3 linked regions of the Diceros bicornis minor genome follow. The protein of the gene in region 2 interacts with the protein of the main gene of each other region in a pairwise test. Links are inferred from orthologs where the notes say so. Each region holds a gene or a part of one and is shown on either strand. Other genes may lie near its edges.

Region 1 (7,591 bases), on a different chromosome or scaffold from region 2:
ATGACTCTGGAGATGAATATTTAATAACCCGGGAAGAAATTCCAATGGTATGGAGCGAGAAAGGCAAGGTTACAAAATAGTACGATCTCCTGGCCTTAAAAATGAAAACTATAACGGTGCGTATATAAAGGGGGAGAAGACCCTGTGTAAGACGGGAGGTTAACACGAAATAGTGCTGGCAGGGCATGCAGCCCAGTGAATGCCTGGCACACAGTAAGTGCTTAACAAATGTCGTACATGGTAAATGGGAAGAACAGAAGCCAGGTAACAACAAGGCTTCTTTGGAGGAGGGTGAAATTAGAGGTGATTTTTTTCATTGTTTATATATCCTAAATTTCCTCCAATACATACATACACACATAGATAAGTATATACATATATACACATATAGATATATTTATTTGTAGTGAGGAAAAAAGTATTTTAAAAAAGAGACCACCATCTTGAGTTCAGATACCAAGAGGCCTCATTAATACTCCCAGGTTCTGGGCCCTGACTCCCACCTGTCACCTCAGTGTCACAAGGGGGTCATAAGAGACTGAGAGCATGTGTGTGGCTCTGTGAGACCACCCAGCAGCAGAACAGCCACTCAGAAGTCAGGCCCCCGATGATGCGGGACCATCACTCCTGCGTATGAAGGACGGCAGGTTCCTCGCCTCGCGCCTCGTGGGGGTGGAGCAAACTGCAGGCTGGCAGGCCCTGTATGCACAGCTCAGAGACAGAGGTGGAAGCTGTTTTTTTATTTTTAAATCCACAGGGTACCTGGCAGCCCTGGGGGCCAGATGAATCCAACTGACGAGGATTCACTGAGTGCCTGGGAGATGCCTACCTGTCAGAGCAGCGTTTGTTGAAAAGCTTGTCTGGGCAGAAATGTAACATTTCTGTACTCAGGAAGATACATTTTCAAACACATACTACATTCTGCATATAATTTTGGAGGGCACCCACGGACCCCAGGTTAAGAAGCCCTGGTCCTGGTCAGGGTGAGGAGCAGAGGCCTGTGATAGACAGGGGTGGAGGGGGTGGGTGGAGCGCTGGGCTGATTTCAGTCCCTGCTCATTCATGGGTGAGTCCCACACACATTTATCGAGCAGCAGTCGTACACCTTGCAAGCGCTGGGCTAGGCTCAAAACAGTCCGTGCCTGCATGGACCACCATGGTCCTGGGCCTCTTCGTCCTTCCGTCCTCTGGTCTCACTCCTAGAGATTACGTCAGCTTCTTCCTTGCCCGCTCACCCTTCCACTCACTATCTTGTTCTGGGAACGGCAGTGCCACCTCTCCGGGCAGGCTCCGTGCAGTTCCCAGGCGCTTCTGCACACGCAGTTCATCTGTTTCCCTCGGCAGCCCTGTGAGGTAGACATTATCATCATCAGCCCGTTTTGTCGGTGAGAGGCGGCTGCTTGTGTCAAGGGCTGGCTTTTCAATAGTTTACAGCGAGCGAGCTGCATTGCCACGCGTGAAACCCTGACTCAGAGGCAGCTGCTGACGGTGACTGCACATCGGGCTCCTCGACTCGCCTCTTGCACAGGGTGAAGGGGATTTTCTAGGCATGGAAATCGAGGCTTAGTGAGGTTAACTGGCTTGCCCAAGTAAGTGCAGACCAGAAATTTGAACCCAGGGCTTCCTGACACCAAGTGGTCTTTCCAATTTGCCATACTGCTTCTCAGGAAAAGGCTACTGCAGCAAAGGCAGGAGGATGGTGAGAGCCCGGGAGGGAGGGAGGCAGGGGAGGAGGGAGTCCCTGCATCTGGGGGAAATTGGAACCCTAACAGCTGCATGGGGTGGTGGTGGTACAGCTTTCGTCCCTGATCCCTGGCTCACGGCTCTGCAAAGGCTACACGGCGCGGAGGGAAGAAGGACTGGAAGGCAGGAGCTCAGTATCCCAGGCCAGATCTCTAGGGACCCTGAGTAAGCCTGCAGGCAAACGGCCTCCAGAGCCTCCCTGGGGCATGTGGAAACACCGTGATCCCTCTCCTGTCACCTAGCGCCCCAATCCCACCACTACACTCCGCAGCAACCGCGTGCCCCGGGGCTGGTGCTGCCTGAGCTCCAGAACCCGTGGCTGCTCCTGTCAGTGACTCATCCTGGGCGCTGCCAGGCTGCCAGCCCACTGGAACGGGAGCGGAAGGCTGGCCCAGCCTCTTCCTGTTTACGTGAGGAGGGAGGTTCTGTCCCATTCAGCTTTTCTTCCCTTCCCAAACAGGGCCAGGAGTGACCTCCCAGCCACGCCCACATAGTCACAGGGGGCCCTGACCAACAGAACATCACATTCAGTCCTGCCCGGGCTTCTAGAACCACAGATGGCCAGAGCCTGACAGGCCCTGAGGGGCATCTGGTCTAGTCTGCTAAATTCTCAGATGGGGAAACTGAGGCCCAGAGAGGGGAGGTGGCTTGCCCAAGGTCAACAGCCAGCCAATGGCAGAGCCAGGAAGTTAGCTGCTACCATGTCCCCCATCAGCTAACACCCTGAGTGTCTACGACGTGCTAGGCTACTCCAAGTGCCTTACAGATATTAACACACTTAACCCTCACGACAATCCTAGAAGCAGCTGCTACTCTAGAAGTAGGTGCTACTCACGCTCACTTTACAGATGAAGAAACTGTGGCACAGAAGTCAAGTCACTCGGCCAAGGTCAGCTAATAAACGGGTAAGCGAAGACCAGAACCCAGGCAGTCTGTCTCCAGAGCCCACGCCATTAACCAACACACTAGACAAGACTCACTCAGGAATTCTGCTCTCGACGCCACAGCATCTTTGAGAAATCTCCAACACTTCCGCCCCTCAATGTCTCAAGAAGTATGGCGTCCTCCACCTGGGAGATGGTGCCGGGCTCCACAGCCCATCACTGTGTCTGAAACCTCGCCATCAGACATGGACCCTTGTTTATGGGACTATTGTTCCTCCTTGCCGTGGGTACAGAAGAGAGGGGGGAACGATGGGGGGTAAGCCTGAGCAGTTTTCTACCAGCTTCTCCCTGGGGAGGGTTAACCAACAGGGAAGACTCACCCTCCATTACGCTCCTACTCTGGCAGCTCTGAGCCGGGCACACCACGAGCCTTATGCTATTCGATACCCACAACCATGCTGTGAGTTAACGTTCGTGCCCACATCTCATACGTGGAGCTGCAGAGGCAGAGAGAGGTCCAGCGACTTGACCAGGGTCACAGATCCAGGAAGTGGCAGAATGGGGAACTGAACCCAGGCCTGTGGGCCTCCACATTCCATGACCTTCCCGCTATTCCTGGAAACCCACAAGAGGATGGGGCAAGGCAGGCTGACGAGGCCTATTTTGAAGTTTTGCTTGGGTAGTCCTGAATGCAGAACCAAGTGAGGGGCTGCCAAGGGAACTGAGAAGGGGTGGAAACATCTAGAAGGAATATGCTTGATCAGCCATTTCTGCCATCACCATCATCACACTCCTCAGCACTGCCCTGGGCTCTGAGAGGAAGAGCTGGCCTTGCTGGGCCGGGGCACCGCTGTGGTCTCTGTCCTCTCCGGGAGAGGGTGGAGTGGTGGCCCCCATTTTCTGTGACATTTTGGGGGGTGTGTAGCAGGAAAACTAGGAGGCAGAGGGTAGGTGCTGGGGGAGGAGACGTTCCCGGGGAGGAGAAGATTCCCAACAACGGTTTCACTTGGCAAACATTTCCTGAGCACTGCTCTATCCCTCGGGACCTATGCGTCTCCATCCCGACGCTTACCAGCGGGACTCCTCAGAGCGAGAACAGCCCTGATGAAAACACTTCTAGCCCCTCTGGGCAAAGGCTGAGGGTGTGGGGCTCTGGGAATTCACACCGGCTCCCCACAACCCCTCCACCTCACCAGTCCTGCTGATCAGCGAGCAACACGGTGAATGAGTCCCCAGAAGGAGGCAGTGAGATGACAAGGACCTGGGTTGGCAGTGAGTAAGCGCTTGATTCCTCTTGGGAGGTAAGCTGGCTGAGGGCAGGCCCATGTCCTGTTCATCTCTGCAGTCCCCAGGCAGGCAGGACGGCAGTGGAAAAGGAAACTGATTTTGGCATAGGAGGACTCTGGAATAGAACACAGGTGCTCGCCATTTATTAGCGACGTGCCTTGGACAAGCTGTTTACCTCCCTGTAACCTGATTCCCGTGGGGGTCTCCAATGGTGTCTGTGACTCCTTCCACAGTCCTCCCATCAATAGGTGGAGTCTATGCCCCCTCCCCTTGACCTGGAGGATGGCCTCAAAGATGGGAATCTGGCAGAAGTGATGCTGCCTGACTGCTGAGCTCAGAAAAGTCCACGTAGCTTCTGCTGCTTCTCTCGGGACACTTGCTCTGGAAACCTTCAGCAGCCATGTAAAAAAATCTAGCTGCCCTGAAGCTGCCTTGTGGAGAGAAGAGAGAGACAGAGCGCAGAGAGCGCGTAAGGATGAGAGAGAGTGCATGCATCAGATGCAGCGGGGGCTCAGGAAATTCTGAACGCTGAATGGAAGCGATCAGGCGGGACATTCGGCAGCTGGGCCAGTGAGGCAGGAGGGCACCTGCACCTTAGGGGCAACGGGATGGTCAAAAAATCATCTGTATGAGACTTTTGTGTGTTGCATTTAGAGTCGTTGTTCTGGGAACTCACCTGGAGCAAGGTGAGAGAGCTGTACCACAAAGAAGGGGGTGGGCAGCTGTATTAGTCTCCCTCCTGCCTGACGGAGAATGTTCCAGGAATCGCTTCAGTCACTTGCTTCAAGCTGGAGACCTGGTTCTCACAGCACCACAAGGTGCAAGCCTTTGGGTCTGCAGTTCAGGCTAATGAGCTCTGGCTCCTCCACACCTCAGAACTATCCTGTCCTTCCCCCTCCCAAGCCCAGCAAGGCGCAGCGCTAAGCTGCGCAGTGACTGCTTCACAAGACTTCCTCATTCAGTCCTTACGACCACTGCATGGGCCAGGCAAGAGGCCTGTGCTCATTTTACAGAGAGGAAGACAGAAGTCCGAGGGGTGAAGGGACTGGCTCAAGGCCATCGCAGCTCGTGGACAGAAGAGCCAGGACTCAGACCCAGGCAGCTGGGCTCCAGCATCTGTTTTCTTAACTGGACTCCGTGCTGCCCGCCCCAGGCTGGGCCTCCACTGCTGCTTCCCCATCCCTGTCAGGGGAAGTCGGCCTGAGAAGGAGCTTCAGCCCGTCCCAGAGCCGAGGGGACAGGCCTTCTCCTCTTGACACAGTCTGTGACACCCTGGCAAGGGGTGGGCTGAGAAAAGCAGGATTGGGACGAGGACGTGGGGAAGAGGTCTGGGAACCAAGGGTGTCTGATGCTTAGTCTGGAGAGCGGGAGGCTGGGGGCAGGGGGTGCTGAACACTGTTCGCAGACACCTGAGAGGCTGTGCCAGGGAAGAGGGCAAGCGAGAGGCAAGAACGGGACCCCGTGTGGATGCCCCCGGCGCGTGGGTGCCCTCGGCGTGTGGATGCTCTCGGCAGGCAGACTTCCAAGTAACAAGAAATATCTCTAGGACCTGACCCTGCAAGTCCGTATTGCAGCTCTTCCTGTCCCCACAAGTGGCTCTGTTTCCAGGGAGGGAGCTTTTGATAAGAGCTCGCAGCAAAAGCTTTGGAGTCACACAGACTTAGGTATGGGGCCCGACTTCGCCATTTACTACTTCTGTGACCTCAGGTAACTGACTTAATGTCTCCCGTGGACAACAGATATACTCAGACTTGCCTGTTGGATTTTGAGGATACTATAAGGTAAAACACACAAAGCGCTTAGCCTGGGGCCAGGCACACAGTGAATATTAGCGGCAGAATTGAGAAAGGAGGGGGAGACAGAAGGGAGGGGAGCATGAGGGAGACGCTGCAGTAAGGACTTCCCTTCCATCTGCCAGGGGAGGCCCCCAGGGGAACAATGGGTACTCTGCCCCATGTGGGCAGGCGCTTCGAGGCTGCTGGCTAGCAACTGGGGTCGGTGGATGGAGTGGGCATGGACTGGGGGTGGCGGAAGTGGGGCAGCTTTGTCTCTGCCAGTTAATTAAATCTGGAATGCTAACAAGCTTTCAAAACAAAACACGACTCAAGTACTCTTTGGATGGGATGTAATACAATGGTTCTGTCTGAAACTGCAAACAGCTTTGTTCCTGCGAACAAAGGCTCAGTTCTCTGTGCCTCTCCGGAGCGGAGGCCAGAAGCACAGGGGTGAAAAGGGTCAATGAAACTCGGAGGGTGCAGCTGCCCAGCTGCCCCCGCTGAGAACTGAAAGAACTGAGAGAGAGGCCCCAGGGAGATGGGGTACCTGAGGTCCCAGGTACCTGAGACTTAAACAAAAGTGTGGGGAAGAAGGGACAGACTTGAGAGAGCATCTTATTCTACCTTCCCATTTCACAGAGGAGGAAACTGAGGTCCAGAGAGTAAGAGGCAGAACCAGGACCGGCACGTGTGTCTTTAACCCTCTGGTTCGGTTCTCGCTCATTAGGCCAGTGTGAGACGTTTCCCAGGGACTGCCTGGGGGTATCTGAAGGGCTGAGGCCTGAGCCCCATGGCAGCAGAAGCCTGGGTCTGGCTTGGGGTTCTTCGGTTGGTCCTGGTCAGTGCCCTCAGAATTCTAGACAAGTCCAGGTGACGGGAAGTGAGCAAGAGCAACCCGAGTGCCCCCACTTTGGGACAAATCCCAAGCCTCCAGAGGCCACCACCTTCAGACGGCCCTCTGCAAGCAGGGAGGCTCACGACGCTGGCAAAGTGTCAAGAGGCCAGAGTGCCTATCCCGGCTCTGCCTCTGCCAGCTGTGTGGCCCTGAGCATCTCACCTCCCCCGTGGGCCTCAGAGGCCTTCTGTCAATCCAAAGAGTGTGACTAGGGGTCTTGAAGAGCCCTTCCAGCACTAAAGAGCCACTGCTGCCAGTTTTTAAAAAACAAATCTGAGCCCCTGCTTTCATTTAATTCATTGGCTTCCCTTGTTCTCAGGATAAAGACCTAAATCCTCGTCACGGCCAGCAGTGAAGGCCCAGCATGCACTGTCCCCTGCTTATCTCCCCAGCCTCCACCCACAACACCTTCCTCCTGGTGGAACCTGGAGGTGGAACCTCCTCTGCTGGAACCAGTCTGGAAGAAGTCTGGAAACTGGTGGTTCTGCTCAAAGAACTCCTCACACAGTTCCTCAGGGGGCACATGAGTCGAGGTTCTCTCCTGTGCTTTCTGTGGTGGGGTAGGGAAGTCTGCATGCCCATCACTTGGGGCAGCTGTAGGCTGTCCAGGGACACACTGGGGAGTACTACGCAGCCCTTAGGAGCAAAGGATCAGAGCACATACGGCACCACGGAAGGATCTCAGAAACAGAGTGCTAAGATCGAGATCTCACACAATACAACAGACACAGATTAAAAATATATGCACACAAAATATCACCACCCATTCTGCCTGAGTGCACAGAAACAAACAAAAAAATCACATTAAACAGACTAACTATGGAGAGAAGGGGCGTGGCAGTGGGAGGTAAGAGAGAATAAGTAAGTGCATAAAACCAGAGGGCCCTCGTGTAGACCACTGCAGATAATGGGCCATGCACCCGGAAGTATGATCGACCACTCTAAAACCTAAAAACAATCATTACCCCCTCCCCCAGGAAACAAGAAACAGAATCACTGAGTTGGAA
Region 2 (6,997 bases):
ATACCTCTCCTGCATGTAATGGGGTCTAAAAATAATTAGAATTATAGCAATGAAGAGAAGGTGTATGAAATACCTGGTACCTTATTGTTACCATTTCTTCTCTGCTCTCATCTTTTCCTTCTTTTGTTGTTTATGAAGCTGGGTTTACTTGTTATTCAAGTTTTAAAATAGTTATAACTTCAGGTAGACCAGAAATAAGTAGCTTTTTTTTTTTTTTTTTACCACTCCAAGCATCTGTGACCAATGTAAATAGCAAGATCTCAGCCACATGACACTATACAAGGTCCTCTAGAATGGACCCCAGAGACCTATTTGAACAAGATGGTCAAGCACAGGTGTCAGGCTGGCACTGATATTATAGTTAAATATATACATACAAAGGAGAATATAAAGACTAAATGATATGCATTATATATCAAACAAAGCATTGTGATCAGAGGTGGTCTAGTGAGATCTAAAATGGTAATTACATTTTCTCTGGAGTAAAGATTGGAGAATGAAGAGAGAGGACAAACACTGGCCCTGTGAAGCGCCTAAAGGTCATGTCATCCCTGGGTCCTTTTTCTGTCTTATTCCTTATCCCAGGCAGAGAGCAGACTTCTCAACCCTGTGCTTTAAGCCTCTCTCTTTCCCTTCCAGTGAGTGCCATGTGGCATGGGTCTCTGCCAAGGCTCGTAATGAGACAATAGCAAGGCGGCTATGGGACGTCAGCTGTGACCTGCTGGGCATCACTAGGGATTGACAGGTGGTGGCAGTTGGACGCAAGAGCAGCGTGCAGCAGACTACTCAGTACTCCCTGCCAGAATGTTTCTCCTTCAGGATGGCCAAAACCTTGAGCACAAAGAGAGAAAACCTTCCAGCCTTTCCTGCTTGATGTCTGATGAAAGTCCAGGGTACACTGCCAGATTCTTCTAAACACCTTGCATTTGTCCAGGTTTACTTTGCTACTGTTACTACCAGAGTTACTAAAGATATCATAGGGTAAGTACACCCTCATATGACCTGAAAGCTCATATTCTCCTTCTGAAATCTACTACCTAGGAGAACTTAAGCTATGGCAGGGCTGCTTTATGGCAAATTGAACTAGTTTCTACCCTCCCTATTCACAATGAAGTTCTTCCCAACCAACCAACCTTCACTTCAAGAGAGCCACACTGCAGCCTCAGCTGAACTCCAGGAGTCACAGTGGCTTGGCCCAAGAGCAGGGCTTGTCCCTCACCTCTTAAGAAAACCATCATGATGCCAACATCTAGATTCTTTCAGGAAACTCTTAACTGAATCTGGATTGTGACATGGTTTTATCTCTGTCCACCTAGAACCAGTGCTGTTAAGACACTTTCCCATGCCTAGACCACAGAAGAGCTACCTTTTCTAAGAAGTTTGTGGGGTTTTGGGGGAAGGCAGAAATAAAAATCTATTTAAATTGTCATTTTCCTGCTGTTCCTCAGGCCAGCAAGGGGGTAATGAAAGGAGCAGTATGGGAAGCTGGGCCACCTACTTCAGTTACTGACCCCAGACCCGTGGAGGCCTCCTCCTTCATGCTTTAGCTTCTCTTAGAAAACCAGAAGAAAGGAAAGGCTATCTGGTGATTGTCACTGCGTATATCTTTCTGTATTTATGCAGTTGGGAGTATTTTCACAAAATTCAAAACAGCCACCAGGGAACAGTATTAAACTGGACCCTAGTGCAGGTACATGATAGCGATGGAGCAAACCAGTGTCATCTAGACTTGGATACAAATGGATAGAGCTGCAAAGGGAAGCAGACTCTGTGCATGCTGGTAACTAACCCACCAAGAAGCACATGGGTAGCAGGGAAGAAGTTCAAGAAAGAGAAGAATCCTGGAAGATAATGCATGCATTGAAGGGCTTAGTTAAGGATTAAAAAGAGAAACCCCAGCTACAGATGGTAATATCCAGCTATAGAAGAACTGAGGATGAGCACTTGAGTTAGTAAGACTGACAAGGTACTATCTTAACACGCACCAGTCAGCCAATGTGGCAGAGAATAACCCCAAACAAACAAAAATAAAACAAAAAAACCCAATTCTTTAGTCAGTAAAATTATCTTAAGGACTGATATTGGTAATTACAGTCAATTTACTAATCTTTCAGGGCATTTCATTATCTTAATAAGATTAAAATGTCTATTTTCTAAAAGTCTACATCATATTTGGAGAACTTTTATCAAAAGTAATGCTGTCAAAGGATGTCTGAGGAATTGGTAATGTGCCCATCACTTGTTGGGAGTATGGTTTTCTAATACAAGTTTGTGATTTTGTTGGACTGACAATTATATGTTCACTTTGGTGGGGAAAAGAGTTATAGGATCACAGTCTTTGTGTATTTGTAAATTAATAATCTTTTGTTGAACTTGTTTTGACCATTAAATTATATATTTAGAAATGGTTATTTTATGGAAAAATTTGATAATAGTGCAGTAGAATAACTGAATTAATATTTTACCTGATTTATATAGAACTGTCAATGATAAATAAACATTTTTTGATTATCATGTTTTTATTTACCAGAATAAAAACTGTAAGAATTAAACATAAGCTTAATTAGAGTCAACAGAAGAAAACAATTAATTATAGTCAAAAGAAGAAAACATTTTTCATTATTACAGTTACGCAGTCATTTCTCATTCTGAGGATAATTTGTCCCAGAGTCCAGCCAGAGTATAGTCTCAATTCAAATACCATTAATTTTGGTTGTGTGATTTGATTACTCATTCACCCATTTTCTACTTATCTTGTAAGGTCACTTTTTCCATCCCAGGCTATTTATTCTCTCTCCGTTTTGTACCTGCCCCTTCTATAACACAATGCTATGGGACATATCACAATACACTGCCACTAACAACCTCAGACTCTGCTGTCTCTCTATGCTCAATAAATATTAGGAGCTCAACAAAAGTTTGTTGAATCAATAGTCAATGAACTCAGTCTAATAAAAATAAGGATGCAGGAGATATAAATCACAAAATCATTTCCCCCTGAGCAGTCATGTGTCTTTTAATATGTGTGGGCAGTTTTAAGTATTCCGTTGCCAAGCAAACATTTCTGAACCGGTTCCATAGGCAAAGCATGAGGAATTTCCTGCCACTTGAACCATGAAAACGTGGAGTGCAGGTAAGGACTTTGTAACTGTTAACACTACAACTTGCGGAAAGAGACCTGACGAAGGGGTCCGCCTTGCTCACCACATTATATTATATATTATTCTTCACTAACACATGCCCAGACCCCTGCACAATGACTACGCTGAACATTAACAAACACCTGCTGCGTGAACAAATGCACCAGGCGAGCCCGGCCGCTAGAGGCTGAGGGCGTATTTTGGGGGTCACACTGCCCGGCGACCACTTCTGAAAGCATGTGACCCTGGTCACTTGACCTCCCCAGTAAAAGTGCTTCACCGCTCGAGGGCAGGCGGGAACCCGGCCCGGCTATCTTTCCAGGGCTGAAAGCTAACATTAGTCAGGACGTGAACCGAGGAAGTCAGGGTGGCCAAACAGTGCGCCGACGAGGAAGATAACGTCCAGAAGCACACTGATACCAAACCGCTGTGCGTCAGCGTCATCCCCGGCGGGCGCTGCGCGGCCAGAGCCACCGCCCCGGGCAACCAGTGACCTCCGAGTCGGAGCGTCTTCCGCTACGAACTACAGCCCCCGGCATGCACTGCAGCGTTCCCTCCCCCTCGCCAGAAGGCGGGGCCCTGAAGAGAGGCGGCCGCGCTGCCCGTCCCGCTGGTCCCCACAGTCCTTCCCGCTGCGGCGCTCTCCCCAACCCCGGACTGGGTATTTCCGGGGCCCCGGGGCTGTCGCTCCCGCCGGCGCGCCGCTGCCCCCTCAGGACTCGCCTGGGCAGCGCAGCATGCCGGACTTTCCGTCAGGCTTTCGCGCCCGGCGCTCCCACAGTGACGGCATGAAGGGAGTGGGCGTTCCGACGCGGGAGGACCCCGCCGCGGCCCCGGAAGCTCCTCGTTCAGGGCGGCCGTGGCGGCGGTCGCCGTGATGCCTGCGGCGCTGGGCGGCTGACCGCGAGGTAGCAGCGGGCTCCGTGCCCAGAATCTCGGCGGCCGCTGCTAGAACGCGGCCTGCGCCATGGCCACCTCCGCCACCTCCTCGGAGCATTTCGAGAAACTGCACGAGATCTTCCGCGGCCTCCATGAAGACCTACGAGGGGTGCCGGTGCGGCTCCTGGGCACTGCCGGGACAGGTGAGGCGGGGGCGGGCCCAGCCGTGGGGAACTCGGCTCCGCGCGCCCTTGTAGCAAGAGTCCCAGACCCCGGCCCTTTTCTCTGCTCTTCGTCCTCAGACACGCCCCCTAGGGCTGGCTGGGTCCTGGCGCCCAGGATCTCCCTGCAGCCACTTAGGGTGCTCAGGTGTGGACGCCGGAGTGTCATCTCCTTGGGACTCTCCCTCTTAATCCTCCTATAGCTTTCAAAATTTTCTCGTCTCATTTGCACTGTGGCAAGAAGAGCATAGGAAACCTTACATCTGCGGTTCTCTGTTTCAGTAGAATTGTGTTTTTTTTTTTAGCTCTCTGTATTTTGTCTTATGCACTTAAAAGCATTATTCTCAAGAGAGGTCCGTAGTTTTCACCAGACTGGCAAAGGATCCGTAGCACCAAAAGGGTTAAGAACCCAGAGGAGTCATAACTTTGGGGGTTGGTAAATATCAATTTTGGGGGTTGGTCTTAAAAATCAGGATTGTGGCGTCTAGCTATGGTCCTCTTATGAATTTTCTGTTTAGACTATTTCCTGCCCCTTTTCAAAATTGATTTCAAAATACAGGTTGCTGCAAGCTTTGCCTGGAGAAGCTAGAGTTTTGCAGTGAAATCCACAGGAAGACCTGCCACAGTTATTTGCCTCGGAAAAACAGATCTTGATGTCAAGGCAGATAAGATTTTGTTTTATTGTTTTTACTTAAGGATCAGAGCTTGAGTGTTTGTTCTGTGAGTTACCCAAGATCAGATGAATTAAATGATTCCAGTGAGAATGAAATTCATACGTTTGTTTAACATATTTACTGGGAGAGGCTGCTGTGTGCCAGACACTGTTCTGGATGCTGATAATATTTCAGATTACAGTGAAAAGATTTACAAATCCCCGTTCTAATGAGTCAATGATAATATATAAATATTAAGAGGCAGTGTTGAGGGCAATACAAGAAAATAAAGCAGGGCAAAGGAATAGAGAGTTGGGAGTGGGGAGCTCTAATTTTAAATAGGGTGGTTGTGAAAGGCCTCTTTGAGGTGGCGGCATTTGAGCAGGGACTTGAATGAGGGGAGTAAACCATGCAAAACTCTGGGAGAAGTGAGTGTCAGGAGGACAGAATAGCACTGCAAAAGTCCTTACGCAGAAATGAGCTTGGTATGTCCTAGGAAGAACAAGAAGGCCCTTGTGTTTGGAGTGGACTGAGCAGGTAGTGGTAGTAGATGAGGCTGGAGAGAGGTTCGCAGGGCCAGATCGTGTGGGGCCTTGTAGACCAAGGTGAAAGATTTATATCTTTTTCTAAATGCAATGGGATGCAATTAAAGGATATTGAGCAGGAGAGTGATGAGATCTGATTTACAAGGTGGAAAAAGAGACAGTTTTTTCAGCCTGGTGCTGAATTAAATTTTGCACTGTCCATTTCTATAAGGCTAAATAATGCAAAAGGGCATTCCATTTTGAAAAATAGAAAACTGAATTAGTTATATTCACCTTCATCATCTACTTAACCTTCTCATTCGTACAAAGAGGATGATCAAAAAGGTGTGAATTCCTACCCAAGTACAAAATACTCTAACACAAGTTGCTGGTAACAGACTTAGTTGTTTAATGGGTAAGTAAATGTAAAACACACATATTCCCAGGTTATAATAAGAATTTCAGCAACTTTCAATTTCCCTATTCATACTGCTCAATAAATATTTGTTGAATAAATTGAATTTTATTAAGTAAACACACTGGGCCTCATCTCTGAATCCTTTTTTTTTCCTAGTTCTGAGACTACTCCATAAGCTTTCCAGAGATTTAATTTCCATCGTGAATTATTAGGCACTGAATAATGTACATAATACAGCCCTTGCATTTAGGTTATGTGCTTTAATTTAATTCAGTCATTTTTCAATAAATATTTATTGAGAATTGTTACATGTCACTCACTGTTCTGGGCCCTGAGGAGTTCCAAGAGTTCTTGCCTTCAATGGGAGCAAATTTACAAGAAAGTGTGTGATGAGCCCTAAAATAATTTTGAGACCATTAAAAAAAGGTTAACTTGGGCGTGGGGGAGCAAAAAGAAAGGGGAAGAAAGGGAAGCTTCACAGAAAGGAGAACCTTGAACTGAGTGTGAGGCATTGGATGGGAGTTGGCCAGACAGAGGGGAAATGGAACGAGGCAACAAAGGAATAGAAATTGAATGCTCACAGCTGTGACTGGAGCTTAGGCTATGTGTGGGAGAGTAGTAGATGAGGAAAGTAAGACACAGCCAGATTGTGAAGGTACCTAAGTGTAACATTGAGACATTTGGACTTGATATGGAGAATTAGTAAAGGATTTTAAGAAGCTGACTAATATGGTCAGAGTTTATTTTAGAAGGAGAATGTTGGTGGCTGAGTAGAGGATGCAAGAGAAGCACAAGAATCTGGATACAGGGGACCATGTTAGGAGCCTTTGAGGGAGTCATCTAGATAACATGGGAATCTAGAGAATCCTAAATCCAAGAGGTGAGTCTGAGGCAGAAATTAACCAGACTGATTGGACATGGAGAAGGAGGGAGAAAGATTCAAGGGTGTCTGTATTTTCTCCCTTGGTCAATTGACGAACATAAGAAATATAAGAGTAGAAGCAGGCTTGTTTGGGTTGTGGATGAGAACTTCAAGGGTCCTTATAGAATTGAGAGCATAATGTATGTCAGTTCTAGCCTGACAAGATATTTCTTCTTCTGCCATTAAAAACAACATTTACGAAGACGATATCATGTGAATTGAGAGGCAGTATAGTGTAAT
Region 3 (7,349 bases), on a different chromosome or scaffold from region 2:
TTCATGTAAAATATAAAGGTTTCCAAATCCTCCTCTATAAAACTAACTTTTAAGATCAAAAGTTTGAGAAGAGATCTACAAATAACTAATTGTACCTTTAATAAACATAAAAACCTCTTTAGGATCTTTTCGAATTCCATGTCTATTCGGACAAGGGAAACAAAAGAAAAAATAAACAAGGGGGACCTCATCAGATTAAAGAGCTTCTACAAGGCAAATGAAACCAGGATCAAAATGAATAGACAACCAACCAGCTGGGAGAAAATATTTGCAAACCATATATCCAACAAGGGGTTAACTTCCATAATATATAAAGAACTCACACAACTGAACAACAAAAAAACAAACAACCCAATCAAAAAATGGGCAGACACTTCTCCAAAGAAGAGATACAGATGGCCAACAAGCACATGAAAAGATGCTCGACATCACTAATCATCAGGGAAATGCAAATCAAAACCACACTAAGATATCACCTTACACCTGTTAGAATGACTACAATCACCAAGACAAAAAACAATAAATGTTGGAGAGGTTGTGGAGAAACGGGAACCAATTCACTGCTGGTGGAAATGCAAACTGGCACAACCTCTATGGAAGACAGTTTGGAGATTCCTCAAAAAATAAAAAACAGAAATACTTTATGGTCCAGCTATCCCACTACTGGGTATCTACCCAACGAACCTGAAATCAACAACCCAAAGAGGCTTCTGCACCCCTATATTCATTGCAGCATTATTCACTATAGCCAAGATGTGGATGCAACCCAAGTGTCTGATGACTGATGATTGGATCAAGAAGATGTGGGGTGTGTGTGTGTGTGTGTGTATATATATATATATATATATATATATACACACACACACCATGGAATACTACTCAGCCATAAAAAAGACAAAATTGTCCCATTTGCAACAACATGGATGGACCTGGAGGGTATTATATTAAGCAAAATAAGCCAGAAAGAGAAAGACAAACAACGCATGATTTCATGATCACCACATGTGGAAGATTAACACACGGACAGAGAGAACAGTTTGGTGGTTACCAGGGGCAAGGGGGTTGGGGGGTGGACACAAGAGGTGAAGGGATGCATTTATATGGTGACTGACAAATAATAACGTAGAACTAAAATTTCACAATGTTATAAAATATTAAGGCATCAATTAGGGAAAAAAAAACACCATTTAGACTTTTTAGCTCTATGCTCCTTATCTTCACCATTTGCAAAACCAAACTCTTATTCATTCTTCAAGTCTCAATTTGAGCCCCGCCTCCTCCCCAGATTAGGTCCCCTGTTAATCTGCACTTCTACTTCATAGCACTTAACTGGATTTTATTTAAAAGAATTCTGTAATACTTTTCTATACATTACAATGTGTGAGTCTGCAATAGGGCAGGAATTGTCTAAAACTTTAAAATTTTTTAAGTGTCTTGCCTATTATCCAGCCTTTCCTCTGCCAAATTAATTTTAGAATCAATTTATATTATTTTACACTTTTAAGAAGTAAAATAAAAGTAACCCGTGTAAACTGTTATTTTCCTCCAGTGAGTACTAAAAGCCCAAGTAAAAATTGATAACTTAGTTCAAGGCTTTCTGCTTCCCTTTTAAAAGTCACTAAGATACATGAATATAAAAAATAAATCTTTTCAGAAAGAAACCTGAAGCTAAATCATCTACTTGTAAATTATTTCACAAATTTCTTGTTTTCAAGTGTCAAAAACAAACACACTTCTGAATTTGTAAACTTTTTATGCAGTTTCTCCAGAGGGCTGATTTCCTGTGGAGCCTCCACAATGTCTAACCAGCATATTATGGATGGTCAGCGCTAATAATAGATGATGGAGAATGAAGCAGTACCAAAAATATCCTTACCCGTTCTCCTGTGTAAACTATTTTTTAAGTTTTAATTCACTAATGTGGTATTGCCTTTCATCTCTAAACATCAATGATTATAACACATTCATTACATTTTACAACTTCTGAAAAGAAATTACATTGACCACATTATAGAGTTGGATGGCTTGCTCTTGGACTTACAGTGTGAGTCAGCTCTAAGTCTGGGAAAATTCAAGAGGTGCCAACAGCCAGACTGGGGCTCACATCTTTGTGGCCCTAACTGATAAAACGCACATTTCATACAATTCAAGACTTACTTTAGAAATACTACAACTGTGCTACATATATATACATAGGGCAAGATTTTAAAAATACTTTTGTACATATAAATATAAAAAAATAATGAAGGATCACCATAACTCTTTCAAATTAAAAAAAAAAAAAAATCCTAAGGTCAGATCTGATTTTAACTGTGCCCGTTTGTACTATTTTCCTGCATTTTGACATCAACCTGTTTTCCCAAACCAAAAAAGAAACTATTAATGCAATTTAACAAGGAACTGAAATGAGAAGTTAAGGTTTTCATTGCTTTTGTTTATACTTTTCAAAGTGAAAATATATCTGGTGGAAAACATTCAGCAATATGTTTGCTGAAAGGCAATGTTCAAAGTAACATTACCTAAAATCAAAATTTCACCTTGCCAGAGCAGTTAAATTATGGTACCTTACTTCAAAGGACAGCTACTTGATCATTAAAACAGAACACATATCAATATCTAAATACATAATAACAAGGTGTCCAGATAACTTAATAAATGCAATTTAAAGATCTGTATGTATAAAATGAGACCGTGTATTAAGATGCACACATCCTTGTAAAATTTCTAAAAGAGTATACAAGAGTTAACGACTTAAAGGTCAGAAGAGGGAGTTGTTTTTCACTTTATGCTCCTTTTATATGGTTTGAATTTTATACAACACCAACGTACATCTTTTTTCAAAAGATTTAAAAATTTCACTTACAGTTTAAATCATACACTCAGTAAAAATTTACTGAAGATTTCTTTCATATTCACTTAGTCTCCCAGAGCTTACCTACTTTGTTGATCTTCTAGCTTGGAGACTGAATATTCTTTAGCTTCTCCAGCTTTTTCAATTCTAATTCTAAAATTAAAACAATTTTACCTTAATGTTTTAGATTTACATCCTCAAAAAATATATTAAATACGATATCACAGGAATGGTTCTTTCACTGTCTTTGACAGTTACCTTCTTTACACCTCAGTGCTTTTAGAAAAGTACTGACAAATATCACCAGTTGTTGGAGCAGCAGGACAGGTATCACTCGTACCTTGAAAATCCCAACAATTCTGTGACCAAATCAATTGTCACAAAGGACCTCTTTTTATAGCGTCCAGTGTCTCCTGAGCTCTCGACAATATTAGTCAACAATGGGGATGAGGGAGCAAACGTTCGTGGTCATTTCAGATTGCTTCAAGTTAAGTGGAAGACAAGAAGCCTCCACAGGAGTCCAAGATTTTGCCAGCTTAAAATTATAAATATTAACTTAGGTTATTCCCATCAATACGTCTGTTCATCTCTCAGTTCCGCCACGTAAACGCCGTGGGACCCTGGGTCAGTTCTCCCTGCTGCCTCTCAGCACGTGTGACGTGGCACAATCACACCTCCTCCCGCGAAGCCCCGAGAGCCCCTCTCGAAGGAGAGCCTCCCCTTCCCCAGGGTCGACGACGACACCCGGGCCGCCGCCGGACGCGCCTCCCCCGCGAGCCCGCGGCCGCCCGGCCTCTGGAGGCCCGCTCGCCCCTCCCCGCTACGGCGGGCTGCTCCCCGGAAAGGCAGTGCCACCTGAGGGAGGACAAGTCCCCTCTGGGACAAGAGGGAGCGGGTCAGGACCTAAGCCCACCTCCGCCTCGCGACCCTCGACTCCCTGCAAACACACCCTGTATGCCTGCCTGTGCTCCGGGGAAGAGGCACCCAGAGCCGTCTTCTCCTCCTCGGCCTCAACACGGGGAGGGCCGCCCGCACGGAAACCGAGCTCCCCGCTTCCCGGGCACGCGGAGACACGCTCGGCGGCCGCGCCCTCCGCCCTCAGGGACTTCAGGCGTGCAGACCGGGCGGGGCCTCGCGGGTCTGAGGGCGCAGGCGCAGTCTCCGCGCAACATTCAACTGCCCAGCATTGGCCAATGGGAAAGTGCGGGACCGCGGTTCGAAAGTAAACGGTCGGCTGCGCCCGCCAGGGCGGGGCGTGATCGCGAGGACTCTGCGCGAGACTCCGGCAGCGTTCTGCGCCTGCGCCCTGGGTGCCTGCCCCTCTCCGAAGGCCCGAGGCGCGCTGCAGAGGCCGGGTTTTGGCGGCCGCGCCCCAGGGCGGGTCTCTCCTGGGGCGGCGGCCGACGTTCCCCACGAAGAAGGCCCCTAGAAGCCAGGCCGCATGTTGTGATGCTGGACTTCGAAGCGCAGTGTTTCCGTTGTCCCCTCACAGTCCCCGCGCCGGCAGTCTCCGCCCGCCCGCGGCGCGAGCACCCAGCGGGCGAGCTCGACCTCCTCTGAGGCGAGCGGCCTCCGCGCGGAGAGGCAGGGACCTGGGCGCCCGACCCCGGAGCGTCCCCTGGTGCTTCCGGAGAACCGGCTCCGCGAGCTGGCGGAGCGAGGACCCCTCAGGACGGTCTCCTGCTCCTCCTTGCCTCCCGTTGGTCCCGCTTTATGAAGTGGTTGCCCAGAGAGGACGCGACTGGGGCACAGAATTCCTGACTTCCAGTTCAGTTTCTCCACTGAGTTCCTATTTCACCTTCTTAACCCCCTAGAATCAGGAAACATACAGTTCAGTAGTCCTTTTCCCTTTTTTTCTTGAGAGGCTTTCTCCAGCGCGATCTCAAGGCGCTCCCCTCACAGCTTCCCCTGCCTCTAAAGGTCGCCTGCCGCCGTGCTAAATCGTCTGTGAGCCCTGGGGGACTGCGTGGTGCGGGTGCGTCCAGGTCTTAGGCTCTTATACAGTAAAATACAGGAAGCACATCAAACACAGTATGAAACAGAAATTAAGGTAATATCAGTGAGTCCTGAGCCAATCTCAAATGTCTTCACCAACTCAGCTACTGACGAGGTTGCTTATCATGTGTGGATTCCAGCGCTATGCGCACTGTTGTGTGGTGGTACATGCTCATTTCGACTTTTTTTATGCACGTACATTTTCTATTTTTAGAGTCATCCTGATAAACAGCTTCTTAACTTCCTGTCAGAACAATATGATGTGAATATCTTTCCATAGCAATAAATGCACTATACGTCTATAGAATTATTCTTTTAAGAAACAACACAATGGTAACTAACCATGGACTCTGGATGATTATGATGTGTTAATGTAGGTTCGTCACTTGCAACAAATGTACCACTCTGGTGGGGGACGTTGATAATGCGGGAGCTGAATGTTTGGAAGAAGCAGAAAAAGAGAAGTATGATAGCCCCAAGGTAGAAATTACTCAGGTCCTGGTGGAGGGAAGCTATGACACCAAAAAAGAGGGCCTACATCTGTGGCTCCAGGGAGACTGCTTTAGTGGCCCATGGGTTCCCAACTCTGCCAAAGATTTCTGTAACCCAGCATGACCAGGAAGTAGCAGAGAGCTACAGGAGCCTACAAAACCAATGGCAGTCAACTTGACATACTGAGTTTGTGGACTGTGATTCAGGCACTCTCCAGAAGACCACGTTGGCCTGGAAAGGTTGGACAAAGAAGTAACACTCAGACACAGAAGTACGTGGTTAAAACCATAAGCTTAAAAATCTGAGGTGCTAAGGTGCTCAGCTACCCAAAAAAAGGTGAGGAGAGGGAAGTTCAGCTGCTTTGGGTCTCTGCCTATATGCCTGCACCAATCTCCTTTTGAAAGAAAGTAGGAAAAGGTTAAAAAATGATAAACCTTTGCAGTTATTAACAGGTTATATGAACAGGAGGCAATAAAACATGAATTTTAGGACAACCTTTGGGTGCTCAGGTCAGGCTCCCTGCTTAGACATCTTCTATCTCAAGCCCCCAAACAGTCACAGTCACAGAGAAGTGCCCTGTAGGCAAGCTAACTTTCTGATTTGGAGTTCTAATAGCTACAGAGTTTAAGCACCCTCCTGTTGTCTCCCATCACGTTGGCCTCATCAGAATTATAATAAAGAGAACACATGACTTTCCAAAGTTAAAGGCACCTGTGGTTTATTTCTAGGACTTCAAAGAAAACACAGCCGAGACTGCCGCCATGATTACAGTGGCAGTGAATCAAGGACAGTGAGCTAGGAGAATCTGCCTGACAGTTCATAGGTCATTTTACCTGGGAAAAAAGCACCCAGCTTGGGGGCCGGCCTGGTGGCGTAGTCATTAAGTTCATGTGCTCGCTTTGGCAGCCCAGGGTTCAGGGGGCCAGACCCCAGCGCAGACCTACACACCGCTCATCAAGCCACGCTGTGGCAACGTCCAGCATACAAGATAGAGGAAGATTGGCACAGATGTTAGCTCAGGGACAATCTTCTTTACTAAAAAAAAAAAAAGAGCACCCAGCTATATGATGCAATAGAGTTCACAGACTCAGGGATTTGGACTTGGAAGAGATCTTAGAGGCAACCTAGAAAAATTTCATTTTCAGAGAAGAAAAACCTACCAACCATATTGGTGTTGCCTTAAACTGAGTTTGAGCCCAAATTTGATATTAGTACCTATACAGTCTTAAGCACTAGAACATATTATATAGAATTTATTTTCACACAGCATTTTTCAGCTGTATCTCTGAATGCAACTTGGAAGACTAAAAGAATGTCTTCTGCTCAGTAGTAGTTTACCTCCTAACTAGTTTCCCTTTCATTTACTGTCTCTCGTTAAGAATCATTTTATTTCAAATGCCACTAACTTTTTTTTCTGGCCACTAGCTTTTTTTTTTTTTTTTTAGTGAGGAAGATTAGCCCTGAGCTAACATCGGTTGCCAATCCGCCTCCTTTTGCTGAGGAAAATTGGCCCTGGGCTAACATCTGTGTCCATCTTCCTCTATTTTTTTTTTTTTTATGTGTGGGACGCCTGCCACAGCATGGCTTGATAAGCAGTGTGTGGGTCTGCGCCCGGGATCTGAACCTGCGAACCCCAGGCCAACGAAGTGGAGCGTGCGAATTTAACCACTATGCCACCAGGCTGGCCCCATCCACTAGCTTCTTTAAATGCTCAATTTTGTGGGTGGCTGTTACCTTAAATAAATTTGGGGAATCTCTTGATTCAGGCAGTTAATATGCAATTTTCTAGGACATTCTGTTTGTAATTGTTATGCCATCATCACATTTATTTTAATTATCTAAACATTTTGAATTTCAAGAATTTTTTCTTATAAATCATAAAATTTTGATTTTGATAGTCTTGTGTGATTCTCTAATCCATTTCAGCACAGCAATATTATTTATTTGTCTAATAAATGGACAGCATGAAAGTTACAGAGAACACAGATCTTGTACTTGAGTTGCTTATCTC

The links. The genes of interacting proteins can lie anywhere in the genome.
Region 1: the proteins of VTI1B (region 2) and PTPN5 interact in binary tests that used the Homo sapiens proteins (3 or more experiments, as listed by UniProt). The two-hybrid records come from large-scale screens. The link is inferred for Diceros bicornis minor from reciprocal best matches to the Homo sapiens genes VTI1B and PTPN5.
Region 3: the proteins of VTI1B (region 2) and TRIM59 interact in binary tests that used the Homo sapiens proteins (3 or more experiments, as listed by UniProt). The two-hybrid records come from large-scale screens. The link is inferred for Diceros bicornis minor from reciprocal best matches to the Homo sapiens genes VTI1B and TRIM59.

What each region holds. Positions count from the first base shown.
Region 1 is NC_080746.1:76,450,885-76,458,475, forward strand, and holds the start of PTPN5 (tyrosine-protein phosphatase non-receptor type 5), read right to left. Parts: upstream 3,015-7,591; coding exon 3,008-3,014; intron 1,347-3,007; coding exon 1,236-1,346; intron 1-1,235. UniProt on the Homo sapiens protein: May regulate the activity of several effector molecules involved in synaptic plasticity and neuronal cell survival, including MAPKs, Src family kinases and NMDA receptors.
Region 2 is NC_080763.1:16,317,979-16,324,975, reverse strand, and holds the start of VTI1B (vesicle transport through interaction with t-SNAREs homolog 1B), read left to right. Parts: upstream 1-3,991; 5' UTR 3,992-4,107; coding exon 4,108-4,222; intron 4,223-6,997. Other genes in the region: RDH11 (retinol dehydrogenase 11), read left to right, coding at 640-742. UniProt on the Homo sapiens protein: V-SNARE that mediates vesicle transport pathways through interactions with t-SNAREs on the target membrane. These interactions are proposed to mediate aspects of the specificity of vesicle trafficking and to promote fusion of the lipid bilayers.
Region 3 is NC_080754.1:66,345,686-66,353,034, forward strand, and holds the start of TRIM59 (tripartite motif-containing protein 59), read right to left. Parts: upstream 3,015-7,349; 5' UTR 2,936-3,014; intron 1-2,935. Other genes in the region: uncharacterized protein LOC131414636, read right to left, coding at 3,282-3,386, 3,801-4,336, 4,959-5,022. UniProt on the Homo sapiens protein: E3 ubiquitin ligase involved in different processes such as development and immune response. Serves as a negative regulator for innate immune signaling pathways by suppressing RLR-induced activation of IRF3/7 and NF-kappa-B via interaction with adapter ECSIT.